Regions from separate parts of the Mus musculus genome. Here regions 1, 2, 3 and 4 are each reported to be linked to region 5. The links are microRNA targets in miRTarBase. Many come from high-throughput screens and were not tested one by one. Region 5 holds a microRNA gene; each other region holds the end of a gene's coding sequence.

The links. Region 5 holds the annotated microRNA mmu-miR-124-3p (UAAGGCACGCGGUGAAUGCC, at 3,660-3,679, opposite strand). A microRNA usually pairs through its seed, bases 2 to 8, with sites in the 3' UTR of a target mRNA and lowers its output. Matches are read on the target gene's strand: a 7mer-m8 pairs with bases 2 to 8, a 7mer-A1 pairs with bases 2 to 7 and ends in A, and an 8mer does both.
Region 1: miRTarBase lists Gmcl1 as a target of mmu-miR-124-3p. Seed matches in the 3' UTR shown: 7mer-m8 at 3,798-3,804 and 7mer-m8 at 3,323-3,329.
Region 2: miRTarBase lists Anxa4 as a target of mmu-miR-124-3p. Seed matches in the 3' UTR shown: 7mer-A1 at 4,151-4,157 and 7mer-m8 at 3,505-3,511.
Region 3: the mRNA of Slc7a6 is a reported target of mmu-miR-124-3p. The part of its 3' UTR that is shown has no 7-base or 8-base seed match.
Region 4: miRTarBase lists Eya3 as a target of mmu-miR-124-3p. Seed matches in the 3' UTR shown: 8mer at 1,442-1,449.

The regions. Positions count from the first base shown.
Region 1 is chr6:86,688,726-86,693,827 of GRCm38, forward strand. It overlaps Gmcl1 (germ cell-less, spermatogenesis associated 1), which reads right to left. Exons shown (of 14, transcript NM_011818.3): 14 at 3,043-4,326. The coding sequence ends at 4,198. Among named protein-coding and RNA genes, the nearest start is that of Snrnp27, 6.8 kb to the left of the region's middle.
Region 2 is chr6:86,733,433-86,738,534 of GRCm38, forward strand. Anxa4 (annexin A4) reads right to left here. Exons shown (of 13, transcript NM_013471.2): 13 at 3,408-4,391. The coding sequence ends at 4,332. Among named protein-coding and RNA genes, the nearest start is that of Gmcl1, 2.6 kb to the left of the region's middle.
Region 3 is chr8:106,195,694-106,200,795 of GRCm38, reverse strand. Slc7a6 (solute carrier family 7 (cationic amino acid transporter, y+ system), member 6) reads right to left here. Exons shown (of 10, transcript NM_178798.4): 9 at 4,760-4,943; 10 at 2,082-4,252. The coding sequence ends at 4,158. Slc7a6os (solute carrier family 7, member 6 opposite strand) reads left to right here. Exons shown (of 5, transcript NM_001007567.2): 5 at 1-358. Among named protein-coding and RNA genes, the nearest start is that of Slc7a6os, 13 kb to the left of the region's middle.
Region 4 is chr4:132,720,289-132,725,390 of GRCm38, reverse strand. Eya3 (EYA transcriptional coactivator and phosphatase 3) reads right to left here. Exons shown (of 17, transcript NM_210071.2): 17 at 626-4,112. The coding sequence ends at 4,032. It overlaps Xkr8 (X-linked Kx blood group related 8), which reads left to right. Exons shown (of 3, transcript NM_201368.1): 3 at 1-487. Among named protein-coding and RNA genes, the nearest start is that of Xkr8, 9.7 kb to the left of the region's middle.
Region 5 is chr2:180,892,660-180,897,761 of GRCm38, reverse strand. It overlaps Mir124a-3 (microRNA 124a-3), which reads right to left and starts at 3,722; the gene lies at 3,655-3,722.

The sequences.
Region 1 (5,102 bases), not on the chromosome of region 5:
GAAGCAAACAATGTTGAATGCTGTAGGTTCAGCCATCCACCTTTTTGTACAGTCCAAGACTCTGAGTCACAGAATAGCACTACCTGTATTTAGGATAGGCCACCCACACCCCAACCTCATATAGACATAATCCCCCACAAAGAGATATGCTGAGATTAGTTAGTTTCCATGGTGATTCTAAATCCCATTGAGGTGACAATCAACACCATCCAGTACATTTCCCAAAGTCAAGCGATAGATAGCTAGTTTTTAAAATCATCGCAGCAGGCCCTGGGAGGTGTGGTCTGTGTCATCTGGTACCTAGCCCATGAGTGATTCAAGCAGGGAACACTGGCCTGGCCTGACAGTTGGCTTAAAGAGACAACAGGGCTGGCCCGATGGCTGAGCAGTTAATACCACTTGTTCTTTCAGAGGACTGGGGCTCAGTTCCCAGTCACCCACAAGGTGGTTCACAAGCATTCATGATCGCATCCCAGGAGATCCAATGCCCAACATCAGGCACACACACTGTGCAATGCACACATGCAGGGGACACATGCATCGTCAACCTTTAACAAAATTAAAAGACGTGGTTGGGGAAGTAAGGTTTGGACTGGCTGCTCTGTGTAGACGCACATGTGAAGGGAGTCCACGGGTTGCCCTCTCAGCAAAGTACGAGGTGTGGAAATATCAGAAAATAAAACATCACCACTAGTCACACTATTCACATACATTGCATATCTAGATATCAAAGGTACTTAAGTTTGAGAGGCTTGTAGGCGTGAGAGGGATACAGACAAGGAAGCGTTACAGAAGTGTAGCCGCAAGGAATAGGACAGCAGGAAGGCACAGATGAGGGGAGGGTCATGCAGAAGAGCTTCCAGAAGGAAAGGAGTAGAAGCCAGCCAGAAAACAAGGGGGAAATGTGAGCTGGGGAGGGTCTTTGCAAGAGGTGGGGGATATGAAGGTGAGACCTAGGGTGACCTGATGGCACATGTGGTGCCTCTTCAAAGTTTTAGGGGTGGGGAAGAGAAGTAGACTTGGGTTTTTTCTGAGGACAATTTGTGGTAATACAGAGAGACTAATTAAAGAAAAACACCCTGGAGATAAGGCTATGAATCTGGGTGGGTGTTGCAGTCTGTTGAGTATGATAGCAGAGATGGGGTAACTTACAGTGCAAACCTGTGGAGGTTCTGGTATCATGGGGCCGGAGTGCATCATGTGGTGTGAGATCGACAAAGGACAAGGTAGGACACCACTCTATAAAAGCTGCACTGGCTCACAAAGGGCTTAACCACCTCTCACACCTCACACTTAACAACTCTAATGCATAAGGGAACACATTTCCGGGGTGTACTGAGCAGTAACCTCAGCACTTGGGAGGCACGGACACTGGGAAGTATAGGCACAAGGATCTCCAGTCTGAGGCCAGCTTGGACTACACAGTGAGAGCCCATGTGAAGAAAAGCTAACCCCAAAAGTTAGTGGCCAGTACTGCTTCCATTTGCTTACTCTCTTGCCAAGGTTCAAGGTAAATTCTTAGAAAGGACTGGAAGTATGTGTGTGTGTGCACGCACATGTGTCCATGCCCCTCTGTAATAATTCAGGATGAAACTACAATATGGGGGCTGGAGAGATGGCTCAGTGATTAAGAACACTGACTGCTCTTCCAGAGGTCCCCATGTTCAATTCCCAGCACCCAGTGGCTCACAACCATCTGTAATGGGATCCGATGCCCCCTTCTGGTGTGACTGAAGATAGCTACAGTATACTTATATACATAAATAATTCTAAAAATATAAAAAATAAAAAAACTACAATATATTCTCTTAACTGATATAATAGACAAAGAAATTATTGTTGGTGGATAGCTTTCTAGTTTTAACATTTAATAAAAACCCAACTCACCCAGAACTTGGCAGAGGCTATGTAGAAGGGCTGACAAATATGAAGTCTCCATATTCGATGGTTACTGTCACCTGACACTGCTGCCGCTTTGTAAGCTGACAGTGACCAGGAGAGTGTGCTAACCAACAGGAACCACCCTGACTAGTGACCTAAATTGTTGTTGGTATATTTACGCTTTCATTTCCAAGAGTTGTAAAAATATATTTGAGTATGATTGTTTGTCGTTGTTATGTTCTCTGTTGATGATGTTTTAAAGTAGGGTCTTGCAATGCATCCCAGGCTGCCCACAATCTTGAGATTCTCCTGCCTCAGCTTGTTGAGTGCTGGGATTACAGAAGTGTGCTTTATCTGTTTTCTTGGTTTTTGTTTTTGTTTTTTAACTTAACATATAAAGAGTAAAGAATCTCTTATGCATCTGAAAGAAAAGAGCAGCAGGAGAGAGATAATCACAGCCAGGTGCACAGTCAGAAATGTAGCCTCTCACCGATCCAGCCACTGCTTTAGCAATCTCCAGACAACAACTCTACGAGGGAGGAGGCATTCACAGCAGTGGAATTCTGAAAGACAGGATAATTTGTGAACCTGTCACTGACTGCCAGCAGAGAAAAGCCACCATTGAAACTATTCAAAGCTAAAGGCAGGCAGGAGTAGGTGCTGTGTGTTGGAGAGTAAGAGCCCAGCTAAACCTTTCTTTTCTACATTTTGTTGTTTTCCTACCAGACATACCTGCAGCCTGCTAGATCTACCGAAGTCTGTCCTGCAGCCTTCCACAGCTGAGGCTGCCTGCCTTGGGACCTAACTCAGAGCAAGCTTTCTCTCCCTTTTCTAGCTCCTCCCCAGAAGCCGCTGACTCAGTTTTCCAGCCCGGCTGTCTTTTCTCCTAGTCGTAACAGAATTCTGCTTTAAAAGAAAACAAACACAAAGGATCAATTACTTGGAAAAAAAAAGAATCCTAGTTTCAGCCAGGTGATAGTGGCACACCCCTTTAATTCCAGCACTCGAGAGGCAGAGGCAGGTGGATCTCAAAGCCAGCCTGGTCTACAGAGTGAGTTCCAGGACAGCCAAGGCTATCTTGAAACCCTATCTTGAAAAAACCCCAAAACTAAAAAAACTAGTTTCAATAAGCTTTTTAAGTTCACTTTAAACAGGAGCATATTCCTTTTCCAAATGAGCATTTATTATTTGAACAGATACATAAAAATGATTCCAATTTAAAAAAATACTAAAAACATACATCAACCACAAAAACACTTACTCTGACTGGAGGACAATGATCCAGGCTATTTTCAATAGCAATAAACACAAGGGACCAACACATACAGATCGGGATGAGCATACATCTTATTCTTGACAAGGTAAGTTGTTCTAACACGACTGTTTTGTTCCCAGCTCCCCCTGTACATTCACCATGAAATCTACTTATGTATGTGACTCAAAGGCACTCAGTTCAGAGGGTATAAAGTCCTGAGCTTAATAGGAAACAAGATTCCCAACTAAAATTTGACATAAATTCCAACTATCAGAGAATATGAAAATGTGTGACGATGTATCTGTACATAAATAATTCATAACATAAGAGTACACAGAATGCCAGACAAGACCATGCACGTAAGGCGAAGGAATATCCTCAGAATCAAACTGATTTCCCTTATTCAAGTTTATTTCAAGTCCTCAAGCTGATTCTTGTTGTCATTTAAAACTGTAGGAAAGTTAAAGTTTAAAAAAATATGAAAATGCTTATATTTAGAATAAAAAAAGAAAAAAGAAAAACGAAACAAAACCAACTCTTAAGCTTAATCTCCCAAACCATGACAAGGGATCTGATGGCTAAAACGAAGAAGATTCTGGAAAGGATCTCAACTGAACACAAGACTTCACCAGGTGGCTGAACAAATGAAAGGACAGCTTTAAAGGCACCAATTGAAAGAGCATTTATGATTGGCCACTTAAACTCCGTCCTTAGCATTCTCTTAACAAAACAGGAACACATTTACAGATGAGTAAACTCACTAACATTAGATAGGATCGAAATTCAAGCTCAAAATTAAATCTATATCTTGTTGCAAAGAAATGAGAAATTTACCTACAGCAATTTTTACTGCTACTAAATTAAAGCAAGAGTTGATATCCTTTTAACATGGTTTGACAGATGCTTTCTCAGTTTTAAAAAACTTTTTCATATGTGCATAGAAATGTAATGAGGGTGAGGACATCTCCAGGGTCCCACAGTTCATAAGGCCGGTCACTGTTAGTCACCTTGGACGTGAACGCAGTAGGTCATTAAGTTAAAACTGGCCACTGATGAGTGCCTCAGTGTCCTGGGTTTTCTGGGTGACGATTACTCTCAGTTCTTTTTTCTGGTGATATATACAAGAAGTTACAGCAGATGTACAGAGGGAAGATCAGAAGTCTGCTGTCCAAGTTCATCACCACTTGCTCCTACAAGACAAATACATTAGTGAGTTTGATGACAACTAGATAGCCCCATCTTATAACATTAGTAAGTTGAGCTGTTGGATAAAATAAGCATGAGGAAGCAGCACAGGATGAAGCACTCGCCACAGCTGCACCCATCCAGCCAGCCCATTAGCTGCCTGCATGCGCTTGTTACTTCTATCTTCCTCAATGTTTAGCTCCTGGGTCACAGGGTGGCACTAAGGACTAAAGCTGGCAGAGCCAGCTCCTCAACAGGGGCAGCTATTTTCATTCTTCTAAGACTGTATATCTAGTTCCTGCATATTTTATGAGCACACAGCTCAGAGGCAGAGCACATGCATAGTGCTAAGGCCCCTGTGCACAGTGATCTGCTCATTCGCTTTCAGCTCTAAGACTCCAGTACAGCATATTACTGGACTAAGACAGGGAGTCACTGCTGTCATCACCACCACAGCTCCTGCCCTGTAAAGTCCTATCGTGTCTAGAACACAGCACAGAGTGTATTATATAAAAACATTCTAGGCTCAGCTACATCCTCTGAAGACTGGTGGTGAGAGCCACAAGGGAACCACCACTAATGCTTTCTATGTTTTTGGATCTCACAGATTTGTCACCAGGACTACAGAGAGCATAGGAAGTTCTTCAAGGGAGCAACACTGAAATGAACATTCCCATCATCTAACCCTTGGGAACGTCTCATACACTGTAAGCATCAGTCGTGATATATGTTCTGGAGAATACTTTAAGCGCTGCTTAATTATAGAGTCTGAAGCATTAAT
Region 2 (5,102 bases), not on the chromosome of region 5:
GCATGCGCAGGCTGCTGGCCCGTCCCTGCGGCGCTCAGCCCCGGTGCGTGTCTGACTTCCGCGGTTCCGGCTTCAACGGAGGGGCGTGGGCACTGTGTGCTTATGCCTAACAGATCTCGGGATCTCTGTCGCTGGTTCTTCCCGTAAGCTTCCTCGATTCCGGGGTCTCATCCAGCCCTGTACGGTTAATAAGAGGACGGACTTGCCAACATGGCCTTTGCTTCCAGGGCTCTAGGACCCGACTGGCCCGGTTAGATAGATGACCGTCACCCAGCTGTGTTGACCGGGTTCAGTCTGGAGCCTCAGCTAGCCTCCAGGTCTTGCCTTCCTTCTGCTGCCTTGTTTTGATTTAATTATTATTTTATTGTGTCAGTGTCTCGTACTACATACTTCGACTCACTGTATAGGATGCTCTTGAACTCTTGATCTCCTGTTTCTACCCCCTGAAAGCTGGGATTACAGCCATGTATGTGTCACATCACCTTCGTGGACCTGAAATGCTGAGTATCAGATGCAGGGCTTCTTGAATGCTAAGCAAACATTCTACCAACTAAGCTACATCCCTGGCCCTCGATTTTTTTTTTTTTTTAAATTTTCTTCAAGGAAAAGTGTCACTCTGAAGCCCAAGGCTTCCCTGGAACTCTCAGAAGTCCGCCTATCTCAGCCTCTAAGTGCTAGGAGTTGAGGCACTGAGCTACCATACCTGCCTTTTATACCTTTCAAAGTAAAATGTTTATAATAGAATGTTTCAAACAGAGCAATACAAGTACCTGTGGACCTACTACTGGCTTGGAATTCTATCACACTTACTTTGATTCACTCCCCTTTAGCTTTATTGATATATAGTGGGGAATGAGAAACCCCTTGTGTACTAATTCTCAGTTTCCAGCCTCTCCCTCTCTGTGCCATTTCTATGCATGTCTTTACACGTATAACCACTCTTCTGCTGCACATTCAGACATGTAATTTAAATGGAATTGGACCATCCCAAACCTATGATTTCTCCTCTCCTAAAACTATACTTTGAATGGAATCTCTAGTTATTGTCACTGCTCATTGTTAGACACATCATTTGCCTACTCCCTTGCCAAGGGGTTTCAGTTATTTCTACGTAGATGCTCTTTCAGGAACACCACTCGCAAAAGCTTCATCAGGCAGATCCCAGAAACGGGCTCTTGGGAAATTTTCAACTTTACGAGTTCTTGCCAGTTTTTCGCCCCCCCCCCCCCGGAACTGACTGCATCAATTCACCATTTGCACTCCGTTATAGCAGTATATGTCCTTTGTGAGCCACTGAGGAATTTCTCATGTTTGAGAAATTCTGAGGGTGTGTAGCTGAGGCTGGTTGAAGGAGAAGTGGGAGGAAGAGAACTACGGTGGCTGCAGGGGACACGCAGGAATGTACATAATATGAAACATACGTGAGGTCATCTTAAAACATTGTCCCAGCACTCGGGAGGCAGAGGCAGGCGGATTTTTGAGTTCGAGGCCAGCCTGGTCTACAGAGTGAGTTCCAGGACAGTCAGGGCTATACAGAGAAACCCTGTCTTGAAAAACCAAAACAAAAAACAAAAACAAAGAGGCCTTGGCGTATGCACAAGCTAGACTGTAACATGGTGGCTTCATGTGTCACTAAATTCCTAGAGGGTAAAACATCCATATTGGTCTTGTCTAAGGAAGCGCAGGTGAATGGCTCCCTGGATACTGAGGAGAGCCATGGCAATGTCTGTAAGAGCCTGCCACAGCCACATAGGACTTAGCCTCCACCCTCAGAGCAAGGGCAGTGCAAGAACTGACCTGATCCCCTCTGCTCTTCTCACTGTTGCTACAAGCAGGGATGATGGAGAAAAAGAGAAGTGCCCTCCCCCCATTCCAGTCCCCTGCCCTCGTCCCCTGCCCTGACTTCCCTTCCCCAAGCCAGCATCCCATTGAGGCCAGAACTGACTGAGGAAAGAAACCTCAGACTACACTTGGAACTTTGGCTTATTATGTTGATGACTGAGATGACATTATTTTGGGGCCTAGAGGAGCTAGCTACACAGTAGGACTTCTGAAAAGCCAAGAGTGAGCAGAAAATTGTGACTTTCTACCCTCCCCCTGAACTTATACCTAAGGATAAGAAAAACAGCCCACTGAAAGCACTCAGCCACAAAACACTGTTCTTAAAATTTTGGCTAAGACACCACGTAATGGTAAAACTTCTGTTAAAACCAAAACAAAGAACCTAATAATGCCTCCAAAGTGTAATAAAGTTGGAGTAGAGATTCCACAGTCCTGAGGTGGTAGCGTTGATACCTGAATCTAAGTTCATTGGAGTGACTGTCACATAGCAATGTTGTCAGTGATCCCAGTACCAACGCAGAAAGAACAAAGGAGTGTGTGTGTGTTCTTTGTACATCTGCAACTTTTGTCCTTTGTGGTGCTGAGAACACAGGGTATAGCTACCCCACTGAGCTCAGTTCCATGTGACACTTAAAAGGCATGCTGCACTGACTAGAGCAGAGAATCACTCGTTTTCAGAGAACAAGCTAACATGTCATTCAATACCATTGAGTAGGCCTTAGCATATTTAAATGCTAGTGGTTTTGTTGGTTTCGTTACGTTTTTGATATGAGAGAGGGGTGTTATTCCTTAGCTTATGGGAGAAGGAAACAATCTGGGGGACTTGGTTCTTTTCTTCTTCCACGTGGGTTCTAAGGATTGAACTCAGGTTGTCAGGCTTGGTAGAAAGAGCCTTTACCCACTAAGCCATCTCAATTTCATCGTTTGTGTGTGTGTGTGTGTGTGTGGCTGTGTGCACCCATGTGGAAATCAGAAGCTGACATCATTGTCTTACTCTCCATCCTCTTCCTCACTACCACCACCACATCCTCCTCCTCACCACCATCATCATCGAGACAGGGCCTACCATTGAAACTGAAGCTCAGGGATTCAGCTACACTAGCTGGCCAGTGAGCCCCTGGGATCTGTTCATCGCCACATCCCAGCTTTGGGATTACAGGCACACACTCATTGGCTCTGCCTGGCTTTCACATTGGTGCCAGGGATTCCAACACCGCTCCTCGTCCTTCTGCAGTAAATACATTACTCACAGAGCCAGCTCCCCAGATCTTGTTTTGACTTTTTGAGACAGGGACTCATATGCCCAATCTGGTCTCACAGTGGCTATGTAGCCAGGCACAGCCTGAAGTTCCAATCTTCCTGCCTCCACCTCTCCAATGTAAACATTGGCCTTATAGAAGCAGGCTGACATAATGATTAATGTGTTTCTTTTTTTAATATTGTTAATTTAAGTAGAAACTTAGTATCCTTAGTAAATTTAGTATTCCTTCAAAAGTAGTTCCTTCCATGGTTCAGGGTGAAAAGAAATCTCTAGGGTAGAAAAAAAATCAGAGAAAGAATACACACCCCTTTAAAGCCACCATTTTAATTAAAAATGTCTCATGTTGTATACAAACCAAACTTCATGATTAAATGCAAGCACAGTTTCTGAATAAGATTAAAAAGGCACAGTGGGGATCAAATAAACAGTCTAACGAGATTAATTATTTTTAGCAGAAAAACTCTTCTGAGGTCAGCCACACCCAGAGCATTGCATTATCAGAGCAACCTTGGCTGAGGCCACTCTTGACTGTCACTTTGAGCAAGATTAGGACAGTGACCCTAAGACTGAGGAATGTTCAGCACGAGGAACGACCGAGCACACGGGATCTGCTGAGCCACACTTGAGATTGAACTTGTTTGATGAGTTGGTAACTCTGTTTCATACACTTCCCGGGAAGAAAATGGTCTCAGGGTAGAAGGAGATGAAGCAAGCCCCACCATATTCAGCAACTGTCAACTACGATGATAGGCAGAGCCAAAGAAAGGGGGCTTGTGAGAACTTTGGATCTGTCTAAAATAAGAATCTAGATGGCTAATCTTAGTAAGAGATGCTGACAGTCCCACGTGAAGAAATGACTGGCTTCCTAGGGAAGAAAATGGCTTCTGATCTGTAAAATTTGTACTGAAAAGAAAATCTAAAAGGATTTAGTACATTCAACCTCTACAAAACACAAACGAGGAAATAATCTGATAAAGACGTGGAGCACATTTCAATTTCTAATTCTAAATTTCCATGTATGTCTTGAAAGCTTTGAAAGTACAAGTTTAAGGCATCAAAATGACTAATTATAGACGATAATAACATAGTCTGCATCCCAGGAGGCAACTGGAGGCGTTTTAATTGGAAATAAGCATTTGAGATAATGTTAATAGCAGTGCAGAAAAATGAAGTTAAAAAAAAAAAAAAGATCAGTGTTCAGAAGCCTTCTGTCCTGCGGCGTCTTGTGTTAATCATCTCCTCCACAGAGAACGAGCAGAACCTTCCTGTAGTCTCCGGAAGTGTCACCCTGGGAGAAAGGAGAGCACAGGAGGCAGCAGGGTAAGATGTTCTTGGATAGATTACACAGTTCAAAATCACCTAAGTTTATTTTGCAAACCTCACTGGATTTTCTCAGGTCCTCAAAAATTGTTTTTATTACAAACGTAATGCTTTGGGCTGGAGAAATGCCTTAGCCACTAAGATTACTTCTTTTTCTCACATCGAATCTGAACTTGGGTTTTGGTATTCCCAGTTGCCCATAATAATAGCTCCAGGGGATCTGATGCCCTCTTCTAGTCACCTTGGGCACTGCACATGAGAGGCACATATACATATGTACATATACATATACATGTTCTGTGTTTTAAAAAAGTACTTAAGAGCATAGGAATCACCTATAATTCCATGACCTACAGATCACTGTTCCTAACATTCTGACAAGTTCCTTCTCCTTTCTATATGCATGCAGATACCTACGTGATGAGATTTTTAGGACGGAATTCATCTATGTCCTCATTTTGCTCTCTTGATTTTTGGTGGTGCCAGGACCAAATCATGGCCGTCCTCATGCTAGGCAAGTATAGGCAAGTGCTCTACTAGTGAACTGTACACTCAACCTTTATATCTAGTTTTTTTTTAATTAGGTATTTTCTTCATTTACATTTCCAGTGTTATCCCAAAAGTCCCCCATACCCTCCTCCCCACTCCCACTTCTTGGCCCTGGCGTTCCCCTGTACTG
Region 3 (5,102 bases), not on the chromosome of region 5:
CCTTTAGACTAAACAGCCTGGGCATTCTATTTTTAAAAAGTGATCTTACACTCTGGAAAATAAAATGATGTAAAACCTCCATCCCTGGTGGTTTTTCTGTCATTTTACTTATATGCTCAGGGCTAAAGAAGCTGGTGGGAGGAGGGAGAGCCCGCTCCCAGTGATGGAGATGATCTCTGCAAGGACAACAGTGACTCCCCCGCCTCAGGGCGGTCATGTCTTTCCCCCCCCCCCCCCCCCGCCCCCTTTAGACTCTGATAATGGTTATAAAGACTGCTATCACCTTTGGCAGTGGTACCAAGGAACAGTATGTATGAATGTGATGATCTTTAATAAAAACTTAACTTTTTACACAGAAGCAAGCAGTTCTTTTTTAGATCTGATTATTTTAGGTGTTTTCCTCATAGAAAAAGGAGAGGTTGGTGAACTACATGTTTCAAAATTAACTTTAAACATTATGGGCCATGTCAACTGTTTATAGCACTCACCCAAGGCATTACATACATCACCCTTGTTATATGGTTCTAGGGCTGCCAAAAACCACCATGTGTCCAAGTCCCTTACATAAGATGACACGGTATGTCTACAAAGTCTATGCCTCTTCAGATTATAAAAATCTAATGTAAACACTAAATTATTATACCACAACTCTTTGGAGAATGAGAGTAAATCTTTCCATATTTAGAATAGGCACATTGCCCCAAAATGTAGATTAGTAAATGCAGGGCCCGTACATGGAAGGCCAACTGTCATCAATAGGACACTGTCACCAGAACTCAGCATCTCAGCTGCCTTAGCCCTAGATGTAGTATTGTCCAATAAAACTTCCCACAGCATGTTCTGTGTATCCACGGTACACCTGTGTGGCTTCTGAGCACTTGAAATATGATTAGGGCAACTGAGAAACTTCAACGGTTTTTGTTTGGGGAGGGGATGATACAGTCTCTGTGTAGATGAGGCTGCCTCAGAAGGGATCCACCTACCTCTGCCTCCCTAGTGCTGGAATTAAAGGCATGAGCCACCACAACCAGCATTTGTGGGGGAGGGAGTTAAATGTAAGTTGCAATCTTGTCTTAATCTTCCAAGTGCTAGTGTAATGCACGGACACTTATCAAACTGGCTAGATTTTAGTTACATGTGACTAGTTACTGTAGCAGACACTAGGTGTAGGGAAGTAACAGGCAACATTCAATTCAGCAAATACCCTCTTCCTGTGACAGATCCATGGGAAAGTAACTCAGATGCCTTCTTCCAAGTACTTACAAGTTCATACGCTTCTACACATCCTTTCACTTACCTAAGTAGAAGTTATTAAACTTGTCAAAGTGATCTAATTTGTATATCCAAGTGGTTATTGGAACTAATCAAACCAATCAACAAAAACTATCTCGGTTACTCTGAGTATCAACAATTCAGTGTTTTGAGCAAAAGGCAGCAATGTGGTATCTAACACTAGTCATCTTGATCTGTAGGCATATAAGCAGGAGTAAAATTCTATTTACCACTACAGTGTGCTCACTGTTATGCTAACGCTGACATTAAAGAGCCAACAACTTCACAGGCTGTACCTACTACAAGAGGGGAACAATGTACCACTATAAATGGGATTAGCACACTGGGAGGTGGATTCAAAGAGACAAAAGACCTGATGGGAAGAATTCCACTATCAAGCTTGAATGCTGTACAAGTCTGGTTTCTTTCCCACAGAAAAGGTTCCTGGGGGAAGCTGTGTTCAGCTTAGAAAGAAAAAAAATGCTATCAGTCAAGTGACGATGAGAACATGGCTCACTAAGGAAGTAATAGAGCACCTTCAGTGTGAGGTCCCTGCTTTTAGAAACCACTGGAGGGCAGCAGACTCCTGAGATAAGCTGGTTAAGGGCCAAAGACCACTAAAACCAGGGTCATAACTTGCTTTGCTCTAGCAGAGCCTTGGAATGGATACCAGCTTAGCTCAGATATGAATCATGCTTGTATGGCTTAGGCAAGTCAGTCTTTACACAAAGCTCCTTATCAGACAGGATTCCCAACCCATGACAGTAGGAATGTCACTCTCTCAGAGATGCATGTCCAGAACCAATGGCAACTGTGATTAGACTCCCCTAAGTCTTTATTGAGCAAGCATATATCTAAGGTTACTCCTGTGAGTCTAGAGCCAGTTTGGTACTGGGAGACTGCCACATAGTTACTATCTGTATTGTTCACAAATTCTAAAACTTGAAATGTCCTTGAAGGATGCCAAGACAGCATAGCAGGTTCTTCTGTGTCCAAGGTGGCAATGTCTAAGGGCATCAAAAGAGTTCTACAATCTTGTGTAGACACACTGCTCACAGAGATTCACGCCTATTGCTTTGGCTTTAACTGGCAGCCTAGTCCGATCACCAGAATTAGTTTCTACCGTTTACCAGGAGCGAGGCTGGGGTGGAAGCTGTTTTCTCCCACAGTCTTCATCGATCTTCATAGGGAGAAGACAGATGCACAAGTACCAAGCATTTTCTGAGACTTCAATCTCACCTGCCCAGCCCTTGGACAAGAGAAGGCAAGCGGGTATACTGTCCCATGACCCAAGCATGTAAACAAAGCTTGGTGCTTTCAGAAAATTAGTGACCACTTCCAGCAGAGTGGGCTTTTGTGAGTCCATACATAGCCAATCTTGCACAGGCTCTTAAAGATAACAAACTATTTGACTTGAATCCAGGAGTCCAGTGACAACTGATAAATCAGGTTATCTACCTGAATTTTGCATAACACCTTATGTAGAACATTCCAGGCCTCTTGCAGTTCATACCAAAAATCCAAAGATTTATTTTATGTCAAGTAGAACAAAGATCTACAGTCTTAATAAAACAAAGGATTGTCCTTCAAAATAGCAGTATTATGACTCATGAAGTTGCTCATCTGTCCTTGCTGGATCTGAGCCAGATGATAATAACATGTGACTTATCTGTATATTAAAGTATAACAGGTATATTGTGAGACAAGATCTTGTCTGATCTTTCCAGAGTGGCTACCTGGAAATTATGTAGCCTAAATTAGCCTCAAATTCAAACTCCTTATGCCTCACCATACCAAGTTCAGATTACAGATGTGTGCAACCAGGCCAGCTAAGATAAAAACACAATTCACTTATTGCATCCTATAGAGAAATGATCACTAATGGTTTGTTACAACTGGTATCCTGGATTAAATATCAATAAATAATGACATACAGGAGTTGAAATTTGGTGACAGTTGTGGCTTGTCCAGGTAGTAGAGACGCTCCACTCAGCTGGAGTAGTGAGGTTTTTCTCTCAGCCCTTGTTTCAAGGGCTCCACAGCACCATGGATTCAGCTAGGAAGGGCACAATCAAGTGGCCCAGTCGAATTCCTTGAAAAGCCAGAAGCTCACCTCCTTGCCTGAGAATCCTGACCATACTGCTAATGTGACCTAAGCAAAGTCAGACAGGCAGCCCCTCCTCAAGGAGAGGGACACTCTATACACAATAAGATCCCAAAGACACAGCAACATTCGGATCCACGAGTTAGAGGACTTTCATGCCTAGATCCTCAACAGTCTGCTTCCCATTAAGCTCACTGTCTGCTTGAGCCTGAAGTTCCGGGGAGGGAGGGAGTGTTGTTCCTCTTGTGGAATTCAGGAAGGAGGCACACATTGATCCCATGTCAGTTACACAGCACCTTGCTGTTCATGCCACCCAACAAACAAAAAGGGGAACACAACGCTCTCCTCAAGGAAGAATTTTGAGCCATAGGAAGAAATGGTAGCATTTCAGACCTCTAAAAATCAAGTAGCTGGACTTGGTCAGAGGGTCAGAGGAAAACTTCCCATGAAGGAGCCCCACTGTAGACTCCTGGTTTAAACTACAAAGAGCTGTGAATCAAGAGCCAGAGCTGTCAGTCTAATATTCCTTCAGGGCTGCATCTACTCATCAGAAGTAAAACTAAATCAATGCCCTGCCCAACCTCCCCTCCCACTGAAGTCCCCATCTTCAGGCTGGCCTAATTGGTATCTTCCCATAGCTTACCAATGAGAGAGCATTGGCCCTGAGCCCCCTTACAGAATGTGGGCCAAGAGGCTCCTTTAATTCAGAAGGTTTAGGGAACTGGTCTTTGGTGGCTGCGACCACAGCCTTTTGGGCTTCAGGGAATGTCATCTCTGGCTTCTAGTCAGTTTTCCTCTCAACATTTTTCTCTTCAGTTACATCTAGCTCAGTCAAGACGCAAAAGCAAAGCTTCTGGGTGACTCTGGTGACAGTAGCTGTATGAAGATAAGAAGCACAGGACTTAGCAAACACACTCGCTGCAGTTACGATCTCAATAGCAGAAGGCTGAAAGAATATCTGTGATGCCTTCCCACCTATCCCTTAGCCACACAAAGCCTGGTCTTGTCCCTTACAACCAGCAAGCCTCTCCACTCCACACCCAGCCTTCTCTTCCCAGAGGTGGTACACGCCTGGAATCCTAGCACTCCTGCCTGGTTAAAGGCAGGAGGATGAGGAGTCTCGGGTCATCCTCAGCTACATAGTGAGGTCAAGATTAGCCTGAGTTACACAAAACCCTCTCTCAAAAAATACAACAAACCCAAGAACACTGGAAAAAACAGACAGTGCTTTAGCCCTAGAGTAGAACACAAAAAAGTGTGATGGGAAACCAGGTCTTATCCTTTTGCCATAAGGAAGGAGAAGAGTTGGTAGCCTCTGTGTAGCCCTCAACATAAGCACTCAGCCTCCAACAGTGGGGCAAATGGGAGCAAAGAGACACTCACCCAGCACATTCCTAATAAAGAGTGGTCTCCGGGACTCTGGCAGGTATACACCCAAGAAGTAGACAGGGACCCCAGAGAGGGCAATCCCAATGCCAATGAGGGAATTGATGGTGTCACTGAAGAGGGGTACGGCCACCAGAAACAAGGAGCAGACGCAGAACACGATGGGAAAAAAGAGGCTCAGCTGAAATAGAAGAGTGAGATTTAGTAGGGTGGGATGATGGAACACAGCTCAATCAAAAGGCACCTTAAGAGGAGGACCCGGGGCTGGAGAGATGGCTCTTCCAGAGGACTCAAGTTCAATTCCCACCACCCACAGCAGCTCATCTGCCATCCTTGCACA
Region 4 (5,102 bases), not on the chromosome of region 5:
ATTCACAAATCCCGGGAACACTTGGCCAGCCGGGAGTCAGGGGTCTAAGCACTACAGGGTTTGGAAACCAGCCAACACTAGAATCTGCACTTGTGACTGAGCAGGGGTACGGACAACAGCTAACAGTCTACTTGAGCTGCACTGCGGCTCAGAAGATCACTTCCCGGAGAAAATTCACCTTGGAGTCCGACATATCTCACCTTTGGAAGCTAGAAACAACTTCTAATTTCCTTCACTGGAACAATGGGTAAAAAGCCCTCTTGTAAGCTAGTGGGGGCCAATCAGACCAAATGTGGCAGAATGTAGAACACCTGGTTGGTGGGACGGGAAGTCAGGATTTATTGGGTTGCGGCTTAATTAATGCTCAGCACAGACTGACTCCTCCTTGGTAACGTTCAGCACACTCGACAGCTCTGAAATCCATTCCATTTCTATACCTTAAAAAGCAGTGTATTTTAGAAACAATTCAAATAAACATTTCTCTCGCAAACTTACAATTGTTTATTTTCCAGGATAGACCAAAGGATGACTTTGTGTGTGCGTGAAATGACTGACTCAGTTAGTTAAAGGGTGACATCTTGATGAAGGACCCTGGATGGCTTAGAAAAGACAAAGGAGAAAACCGTATAGAAAATAAAAACTTTATTTTTTCAAGTTTATAAGATAGTTCCCATTACATATAACATTATGGTCAAGGACTCTATAGCCACAAATGCCCGCAGTCACATAAATATATATATCCCACCCATGGATGCCTTTTCCTGCTACAGAGGCATCTGGAGTCCAGAGGGAGAGTGGAGATCCAAGTAGAAATGGTCCTGAACTGGGATGGCTCCGCTCAGTGTGAGGAGGCAGCCAGGGAGCCATGCTCACTAGAATTGACTCAGGGTAGAGGGAGGGCAAGCGGCCCGCAGATGAGGCTGGGACACAAGCGGGGTTCTCCCCCTCGTGGTTTAGATGTTTGGGAAGCTCAGAACGCCAACCTGGCATCTACAATGGGTGTGTCTGGGTAGTTCTAGCTGCTTGACCAGTGAGCAGCCGGGAGCACACGCTTACTCAAGGGCCTCAGCTACCTGGGGAGAGTGAGGAATGAGGCCCAAGCTTGGCACTTGGCGGCTAGCCTGCACTCTTCCAGGACAGCACCGAGCTCTGCCTGGTGCTCCTGTCAGTTGTGTGACTCCCATTCAAAGCAGTGTCTATGGAAGCGCCATGAGCTTGCTGCTGCAGCTTGCCAGTCAGATTCTACTTGGAGCTGTGAAGGTTGAGCTTGGGTGAACACGGACAAGCTGTGCCAAGTCTCTTGGGACACTAGCTGTCACCCGACTAGCAGAGAAGAGAACACCCCCAAATCAAAAGCCCAAGTAGGCACCTAAAATGTGGAGCAGGTATCCACTCTCGCGGACATCACCGGCTGCCCCAGGGGCACTGGACAGGGTGATGCTAAGGCACAGTCACTTTTACATTCGAAAGTCAAGCCACCTTGTATCCCAGGACATTCCTGCCACCCCACACACTCCTAGAACTAGCTGTCACCATGAGATGTCCTGACTAATCTTCCAGAACACAGGATCCAGCAGGGAAAAGATTCACCAGCTAATTTCTTCAAGGTGTTCCTTCAGTAAGGACTGCCTTCTAACTTCCAACAGCTTTTAATATTAAAAGGAATTTCTATTTTATGAGTGTTTCTTACACGTATATAAGTGCTTGGTGCCTGAAGAGGCCAGAAGAGGGCAACGAACCCCCTGGAGCTGCAGCTAGAGGTTGTGAATAGCCTTGTGGGTGCTCAAACCTTGGACCTCTGCACAAGCTGCGGGTGCTATTACCACCAAGCTGTCTTTCTCTTACTAGCAGCTCTTGATGCTGCCTGCTCATTTTCCTTCCCAAGCCTCTGTGGGTGGGTGGGAGGGAGGGAGGGAGGGAGGGAGGGAGGGAGTCAGCACAAAGGCAGCAGTCCCTGGAGAGACCAATGCACTCCTCTGTCTACCCTGACAGGGTAGCTGCTTTGGGAACAGTAGCCACTCAGCTCAGAACACCTCCTTGCCTCTCCAGTCAGGGCAAGAGGAAAGGGATTACCTGTTATATTCTAAGAAGAGTCTCCCCTGAAGTGTTTGTGGTGGTACCTGTGTGCAGAAGGGTGTGTCGCCACTTGGCAGTCTGGTGAGCCTGAAGCACAGCACTAATAGGTGGCGTTGTCCAGCACAAGAAACTCCACTGTTAATGAGGGAAGGACTGAGACTTGGAAGTAAAACTCATCCTGGAGTTTCCCAGGTTGGACCACCAAGCAAGGCTGGCCAGACTAGGGTAGCGGTGTGGTGCTAATGGCAGCCTAGGAGGGTCTGACTTAGACTCTAGCTCCTTGCTCCCACCCAGTACCTCACAACAAAGCCAAATGAATGGCCAAGACACAAACCTCACCTCCTGTCTGAGCCCCTTCCTCAACTGCTGGTCTCAGAAGTACTCAGAAGTGTCCAACAGTTCTGAAGGTGGTGTCAGCCTTTCTGTCGTTATCTGGTAGCCTAGCATGAAGAGGAATTTTGCCTCTGGGCTGTGGTATCGCTGCGGACAGTGACTATAGCTAGGGGTTGGTCAAGGACCTCCTGAAGACCAAGGCTGCACATTTCCTCAACTCTAGGGACGTTTAACCCAATTAAACAGGCACCGACATTGGTCCTGAAGGGATAGTGCCGTAAAAAACAAACAAAAAACCCAAACAAAAACCAAAATAAAACCAAAACACAGCTGGGCTTGCGGGCTGGCACTAAGGCCCAGTTTCCCTCCTGACTGACTAGGGGCAGCCTTGAGAGGTGCTCTTGCACCTAGCTCAGGATTGTATTTTTAAGCACTTAAGTCAAGAAAGTCTTTCTGGCCTGGTTTCCCACTTCAGCATGGACTCTAAGCAGTGGGATATTTCATGGGTTTTGACTCTAGCTCTCTGCTCTCCACTCGTAGGCAGAGATCTGTATAAATACAAGGTGGGATCACCGCATGTAAGTGCAGGTGAAGGAGGCAGCTAGAGCCTGCCCCCTTGGCCTTTCTGACTTGCAATGAGTGGGTAGGGGCTGGCCAGAGCTGCACAGAGACAGGTAGCTGTGAGGACAGGACGTGAGGCCAGCATCTGACGACTGAGCCGACCACAGAGGAAGCATCTGCTGGGAACAGGTACTGCTCTGCAGGAGCACGAGGTGAAAGTCCTAAGAAATCTGAGCCCTTCTCTCCAGTCTGGAGGCTGAGCCTCCTGGGACAGAACTTCTGAAGTACAAGCTAAAGGCTTAGATTTATTGTCTATGGGAAGGAGTTTCCAGGGTTGTGCCATTTAGTTACAGATGAAGGAGGACTGCCAAGGAGACCGAGGCTTACAAGATGGGAGATGCCACAGTCTAAAGTAAGTGACCAGGGCCTTGTAGATGGCAAGGAGCCTCCCCAGGGAGCAGAGCACTGGAGCCTCTGTCCTGTCCAGTCACGGAGGTATTTTAGATATTTCCATTACTACTGTCACGGAAACTTTACACACGGCTTTCTTCATAGAAAAGTGGGGGAGGCTGCTGTAGAGACCAGACCCTCACCTATAAAAATAACATACCCATTCACTGGGAGAGACATTCTATAGCTAAGAGACCAGAAGACGATCTCAAGGGGACAGTTTCCATCCACATCAGGAGCAGCTCCCGGTCAGTCCGTCATGCAGCAAGAGTACAACTGTGCCCCAAGCATCGGCTTTTCTTGTTCTTCCTTTTTCAATTGAAACAGAAAAATTAAAGCACGGTAGCGGCAGCCGGTCTGCAGCTCTATCCAGCCACCTCTTGCTGTACAGGGGACATGGGCTGCAGCTCACTCAGAATAACTGCAGTTGTTGGTTCTGATTGTGTTCTCGCCAGCATTTCATGGAGGGAGAAAGAGCAGAAGAGAAGGGGGAGGGGGCACTGAGACCCGAGAGACAGACAGGAGAGAAGGGGCTCAGAGGGTTCTGGCTTCTGGCTCCTGTTGGAGGTAAAGAGAAGCTCACAAGGAAGGAAGGGTCCACATTCCAGTTCTCAGAGGAAGTCAAGCTCTAAAGCCTGGTGCAGGGACACCAGATCTCCGTGGTTTGTGATCCTCCAGAAGGGCATGTTGTGCTGGAAAAGAAGCAAGGATAGTCAGCGCAGCTTACACCCCTCCACCAGACACCTTGAGGCTCTTGGTAACCGTCTATGCTTGCCCACCTCACAGGACTGAAGCATCAAGTCATGAGTAATAACTGTCCAACACGGGACACTATCCTGACATGAGGAACTTTCAGGTTTCAATGCTACCTGTACTTTTATGAGATACCTGTTCCAGCTTTTAAGGTCTTCAGGATCAAATACAATGGCTCAAATAAAAAAATTAGTATTTCTGAATAAGGTGGTGAATACCTGTGATTCCAGCACTTGGGAGACTGAGGCAGGAGCGTTAGAAGATTGAGACCAGGCCGAGCAACAGGAGATCCTGTTACAACTGATAGGCTGGGAAAGAAGCTGATACTAAAGTAAGTCTCACTACCTTGCAGATGGTCAATTTCCTGTCAGTCTTCGCTCTAGCAGGCTCAAACCCTACCCATGCCCCAGATGTCGGCTGTGCAGATGGCTCGCCATCAGGCTTGTGCCCCTTGGCACCATGTACAGTGCTGGAAGGGCCTTGAGTGTTGGAATCCACGTTCTGTGAAGGGGAACCCGATTGGTTTCATTGACTCTGTTCCCTGTGGAGCAGTGCCAGATCAGGGCAGGAATGGCAGGGAGGACACTAACAGTGTGCTGACCCCATGGGCAGGCTGATGGGATTAGTCTCCTCCTCCTTGGGGCACGTTCAGGCAAAGATTAGTTTTCTTTCATAAAAGCTGGCAGAAAGGTACCTGACAGAAAGTAGGTTAAGTTGCATAAAACACTTAGATTTTTGGGGGAGGGGAACGCTTTAGATAGGATTTCTCTGAGTAGCCTTGGTTGTTCTTAAACTCAGAGATCTGCCTGCATTCAAGACTTTTTTTTAATTAAAGATTTATTTATTTTATGTATATGAGTACACTGTAGCTGTCTTCAGACACACCAGAAGAGGGCATCCATTATAGATGGTTGTGAGTCACCATGTGG
Region 5 (5,102 bases):
TGAACGGCTTTCTAGGTGGTGGAGATTGCCTCAATGTCAAGGCTGTGGCAGCCAGGTAGGAAGTGTAGACCTTGGAAGGGCAGGCATGTTGCTATTATTACTATTAATTTTTGTTGCTATTATTACATCTTGGCTGATGCTAGGAGCTAGGGACATCTGTACCTAAGCTCTGAAGGGATGGGAGCAGCTGTGAGGGTGTAGGTGGCACAACAGGCTGTGCAAACGGACCCTTTTCATCCTCCCTTTAAATCAAATTCTGCCCGAGCCAGCACTTTCACGGTTCAGCTTCCAAGGAAGCCTAGGCCTGCTCATGTGACCAACTAGGAGGTCGCAGGTAGCCATGGGGATACTGGTTTACCCTTCTGGTCAAGCTGATGCTGAGGAGCAGCCTAGACCTCTGTTGGTAACAAAGGTCCGGGAACCTGTGTTGGGTAAAGGCAGAATCCTGTAGAATTTAGGGTACGAGTGGGCAGGCATGGGCTAAGGTAGAGGCCCCTGCAATCTGGACTCCCATGACTTTTTGATCACACCCCTGGGAGGTGCTGCCAATGAAGCTCTATTGTGGAAAGTAGAACTTGTGTGCCATGTGGACTGGGCATAGCCTGAGGCTGGGAGGAGATCTGTGTGTGTGCACTAGAGAAGCTGATACCTGTCTTGCTTCCTCTTGGATGGGGCCGCCATGCAGAATCAGACCCTCTTCGCTCCCTCCTGCCAATTGAAGTTCTTCCCACGTTTTCTTCTGTCTCTCTAACAAGCTATGGCAGGAGCACTCTAGCATCTTAATTTTCCCTCTGAAACATCTCTGCCCCCACCCGCTGCATCAGGAGTGAAGGTTGGGGCGATGAGGCGCAGAGAGGCTGGAGCCTCGGGTAGAGACTACCAGAGCACAGACTTCAGGGCAAGCAGTGCGGGGCTCCTGGATGCTTCCACGTGAAGTGCTGTGACTGGGAGCTGGAAGTATGGAGACAGGAAGCTGAATTCTGAAGCATCTCCAGTCCCAATAGGACAAAAAGGCTAAAAGTGACATGCTCCCCTCTGGAGAGAATTAGGGTTTCCCAAGAAAGCTATGAGGTGACTGCTCTGGGACAGCAGCTATGCTGCGCTTCATTCGGAGTGGAGATGTACTATATTGGATGCTCGAACCGTGTCTCTCCTTTCTCTAGTCCCTACACTTAAGAGGGCCCAGTGCCGATGGAGGTTTATGTGAATGTTCTGAATGTTCTTTCCCCAGCTTGCTGTTGACCAGGTTGGCACCCAACAAGCCCGTATGCTGAGCCTTGGCTTCTAAATAGATCAGGCAGTCTATGTAGGGATGAATGTATTTTAGGATAAACAGGGATGGACATCCAAGCTAGCCCACAAAGGCTACAAAGCGCGGCTGCAGAAAAGGCTGCTGGTCCCGAGAGTCAGAGAGTGATGCTTGCACTCAGCCCCCTACGGGTAGATCTGAGATTCTAAGTCACCTGCGTGAGGCCTGCCCACACCCCAGCAGACAGTGCTGCACCCTGAGCACAGTAAGGATTGAAAAATGGCCTTCCTACCGAATGCCCCATGTCTGCTAGCCATGCCCAGATTGGTCCTGTGCCCCTGAACTGAAGCCCCTAGCCTCCACTGAAGGGGGTGCAATGAAGGTGAGTGAAGGTGATTGCTACTCAACCTGGGCTGGGGCACAGGGCAGCTTGCCATGGGCTTTACCGCCTATCCACTCTCCAGCCCACCTCCCTTACCATCCTCCCCACCCCGATCTCTGCTCACAGCCCAGAAGGTCACTGTGGTCAGGAGCCAACTCTCCAGCAAGGGCAGCGGTGGCACAAGAATGGAGCTCTAGTTCCAGGGGAGAGGCAGGGGGAATCTTCCCTCTGGGAAAAGAGCCAGGCTGCAGTGTAGAGCACCCCCAACAGAGCTCAACGAGGGGCATAGTCCTGTGCCCCCTAGGAACCTTTACACTAGAGGACTGATACCTCTACCAATTCCTTCAGTATTGCTTTGAGTTCACCTTGCAGCTCTTCTGAGGGAGGAAGGGAAAAAGAGACAGCAAGCCCAAGGTCAGAGCTGTGGTATGCTTGGGCCCCTTCTCCACCCTCCAAGAGGCAGAGGTTCTGCAGAGGCTCTGCTTTGGGGACAGGATGCAAAGGCACTAGTGGTCTATGAGTGTGTGACTGTGTGCATCTCTCCATGGAGTACTGAAGCAGTCTCCCTGCAGCATCTCTTTGTGTCTTCACGCGGGCCCTTTTGTCTTGCTTTTCTGCAACTGCACAGGACTTGAGGCTAGGAGAATTTGGGCGGTCAGTTCTGGATCTGGGTCAGAGCCAGGAAAGGGGCTCACACTCACCCCATGAAGATGAAAAGCAAGTCTGCAACTTGTCTGAGGGGGTGGGGGTGCAGAGGTTGTGACCTCCTCCACTGACAGTCAATCCTAGGTCATCAGTTTCCAACCTGTGTATCAGGACTCCTTTGCCAAACTCTATCTCTAAAAATATTTACATTAGGATTCATAACAGTAACAAAATTGCAGTTATGAAGTAGCAACAAAATACGAAGTAGCAACGAAAATAATTTTATGGTTGGGGGGAGGGGTCACCACAACATGAAGAACTCTATTAAAGGGTAGCAGCATTCTGAAGGTTGAGAACCATTGCCCTAGGTAATAGGGCCTGTAACCTTGGGGATCGGAAACCTTGCTGGGAGGAGACATGCCAGAGCAGAGTCTCATACCAGGACGCCAGCAGGTGGCGCTGGCTGCCGAGGACAGGAAAAAAAATGCCTGCAGCAGACCTGAGTGGGTGTCACTGCGGCTGCAGATGGTGGTGGGGGAGGGAGGAGGAGGATTTGTCATTTTCTCTCTGGGCTGCAGAGCCTCACGTGCCTCGCGTCCCGCATAGCTGGAGAGAGGTTTGGGGGCGGGATGCGGTCCAGTGTATCCACCCAGATTTAGACCTTGGATGCAGATGCAGATCCCCCACTTCCACAGCTCGAACCTCAACCTAAGGTTCAGGGGTTTCTTCAGAATCAAAGTGATCACCGCCTTCACCCTGCGACCCCAACTAGAGCGCCCAGGGGACAGACTGCAGTGACCCCAGACCCTACCCCATTTCTCTGGGGTTGCTGCGGCAACTATCCAGGGCCCCCTAGATGGGAACAGTGATACTCATGACATCCCTTCGCCCCAAGCGCATTAGCGCCCCGTCTCTCTGGGTGACTCCACGGCCAGCACCGAGGACAGCGCCCAGGACTGCCCGTGGGTAGCGGGACGCGCCAACACAACCCGGGAAGCTGCACACTTCCCTCCCGCGCCCCTCAGCCCGCCGCTTCCCCAGCCCCTCCCTTTGTCTTCTGGCCCTCGTCTCCCTCTTCGGGATCTCGAGCACTCAGAGCTGCGGACACACGTGGTCAGGGGCCGGGTGGCCACATTCTCCCCCGCGGTCGCCCCCACCCTTCTCGTGACGTCCTAGGCATGCGGGCCCCTTTGTGTCCCGCGGCCAGATCCCCGGCCCAGCAGCTGGGCCGCCCTCTGGGCGGGCGCATTGTTCGCCGGATTTGTCCGCGGAGCGAGGGGCCACCGGGGGCCGGGGCTCGCCTTTTTCCCGCGGGAGGGGCGCCGCGACGGCCGGGCTCCCGGGCCATTTCCATGAGAAAGGAGCGGCGGAGGCGCCTCTCTTGGCATTCACCGCGTGCCTTAATTGTATAGACATTAAATCAAGGTCCGCTGTGAACACGCAGAGGGGCCCTCAGGGCTGCGGCGGGCGGCGAGCGGCTGGACCGGGTCGGGGCCGGGCTGCGGCTTGCGTGGGGTCCTAGCCTGAGGGGCGCGAATGCTCCAGCTTCTTCGCCGCGGGGCGGGCGGGCGGGGCGGGGCTCCGCGCTAAGCTGGCAGTGCTGCCCTGGTCCGCCCCCAACTCCGAGGAGCCAGTTTTCCTTCCCCTCCCCGAGGTAGAGAAGGGCCCGGGCAAATCCCTCGGGGCGTTCCTGCAGTAGGGACCCCTCGGAGCCGCGGCGAGGGAGATGCAGGAGCCGGCCGGGGTGAGCGCGCGTGCTCCGGCCTGCTGCAGTCTTCTGACGGGTGCAGAGCCCTCTCCACCCCGGCGGCGCAAGCCTCTCCGCAGCTGCCCTTCCCCGGCTCCTCTTCCCGGCCCCACCAGGAGTGCGTGAGTGCGGTGAAAATAAAGAACCTCGATGTTCGGAGATGAAAAGCAGTCTCTTTCTACAACCCGCCGAGCTCTCTTCTCTTACGCCTCTGGCTGGCGAGAAGCTGCTCGAGGAGAGAAAGACGGGGTGACCTGAGAGACCGGCTCGCCCCGGCACGGGCCGCCAGCGCAGTTACCCGTCCGGGCGCGAGCCGCCGCCGCCTGCTGCTTCTCGGTTGCCGCCTCCGCTCCGCAGCACAGCCTGCGCTGTCGCCCGATCCCGCCTCCGCCTCCTTCTTGGCGCCCGCAGGACCCGCACGCTACGGCCCCGGGTGGAGGAGAGCGCAGGGACAGTGCCAAGGAAGCCGGGCAAATTCCTGAGGGCCGGGTGGGAGCCCGGCGTCCGCGAGGTCGGCACTGCGGGAGTCTGACTCCCACTCTCCTTGCCTAGACCGGGTGCGACCGTCCCCGCGCTCGCCGCCGCCGCCGCTGCCTCCGCTCGTATCCGCGCTCGGCTCCGGCACCGGGCGATTATCACTGGGGCGCGCGGTGACGTCACCCGACACCGGCTCTGCCGCCTCCTCTCGGAGGTGTCCTTGAGAACTGAGGGGCACGCGCACCGCGTACACGCGCACTCACGCACCGCGCGACCCGTGCCTCCCGCGCACACGCTCGGCGTCCCGCTCCGCGCGCTCCTCGACTCACACGGATGCAGCCCTCGAACGCCTTCGATTGTGCCCGGCGCCCCGGGGTCACACGTATGCAGAGAAACTGCCTCTTGGACACTCTCGAACCGCTCATTCTGTCCTACTGCACGACCCACGCAAAAGCTTCTCCCGCAGCCCACCGACCGCAGCTCCTCTACACCCACCACCAGCCACACCCCGCTGTGCAGCGAACACACTGTGCTTGCCTCACACAAGCGGCTGGTCCTTCCGGAATAACCACTCTACACAGTGGCTTCTGAGCCTCTCTCTC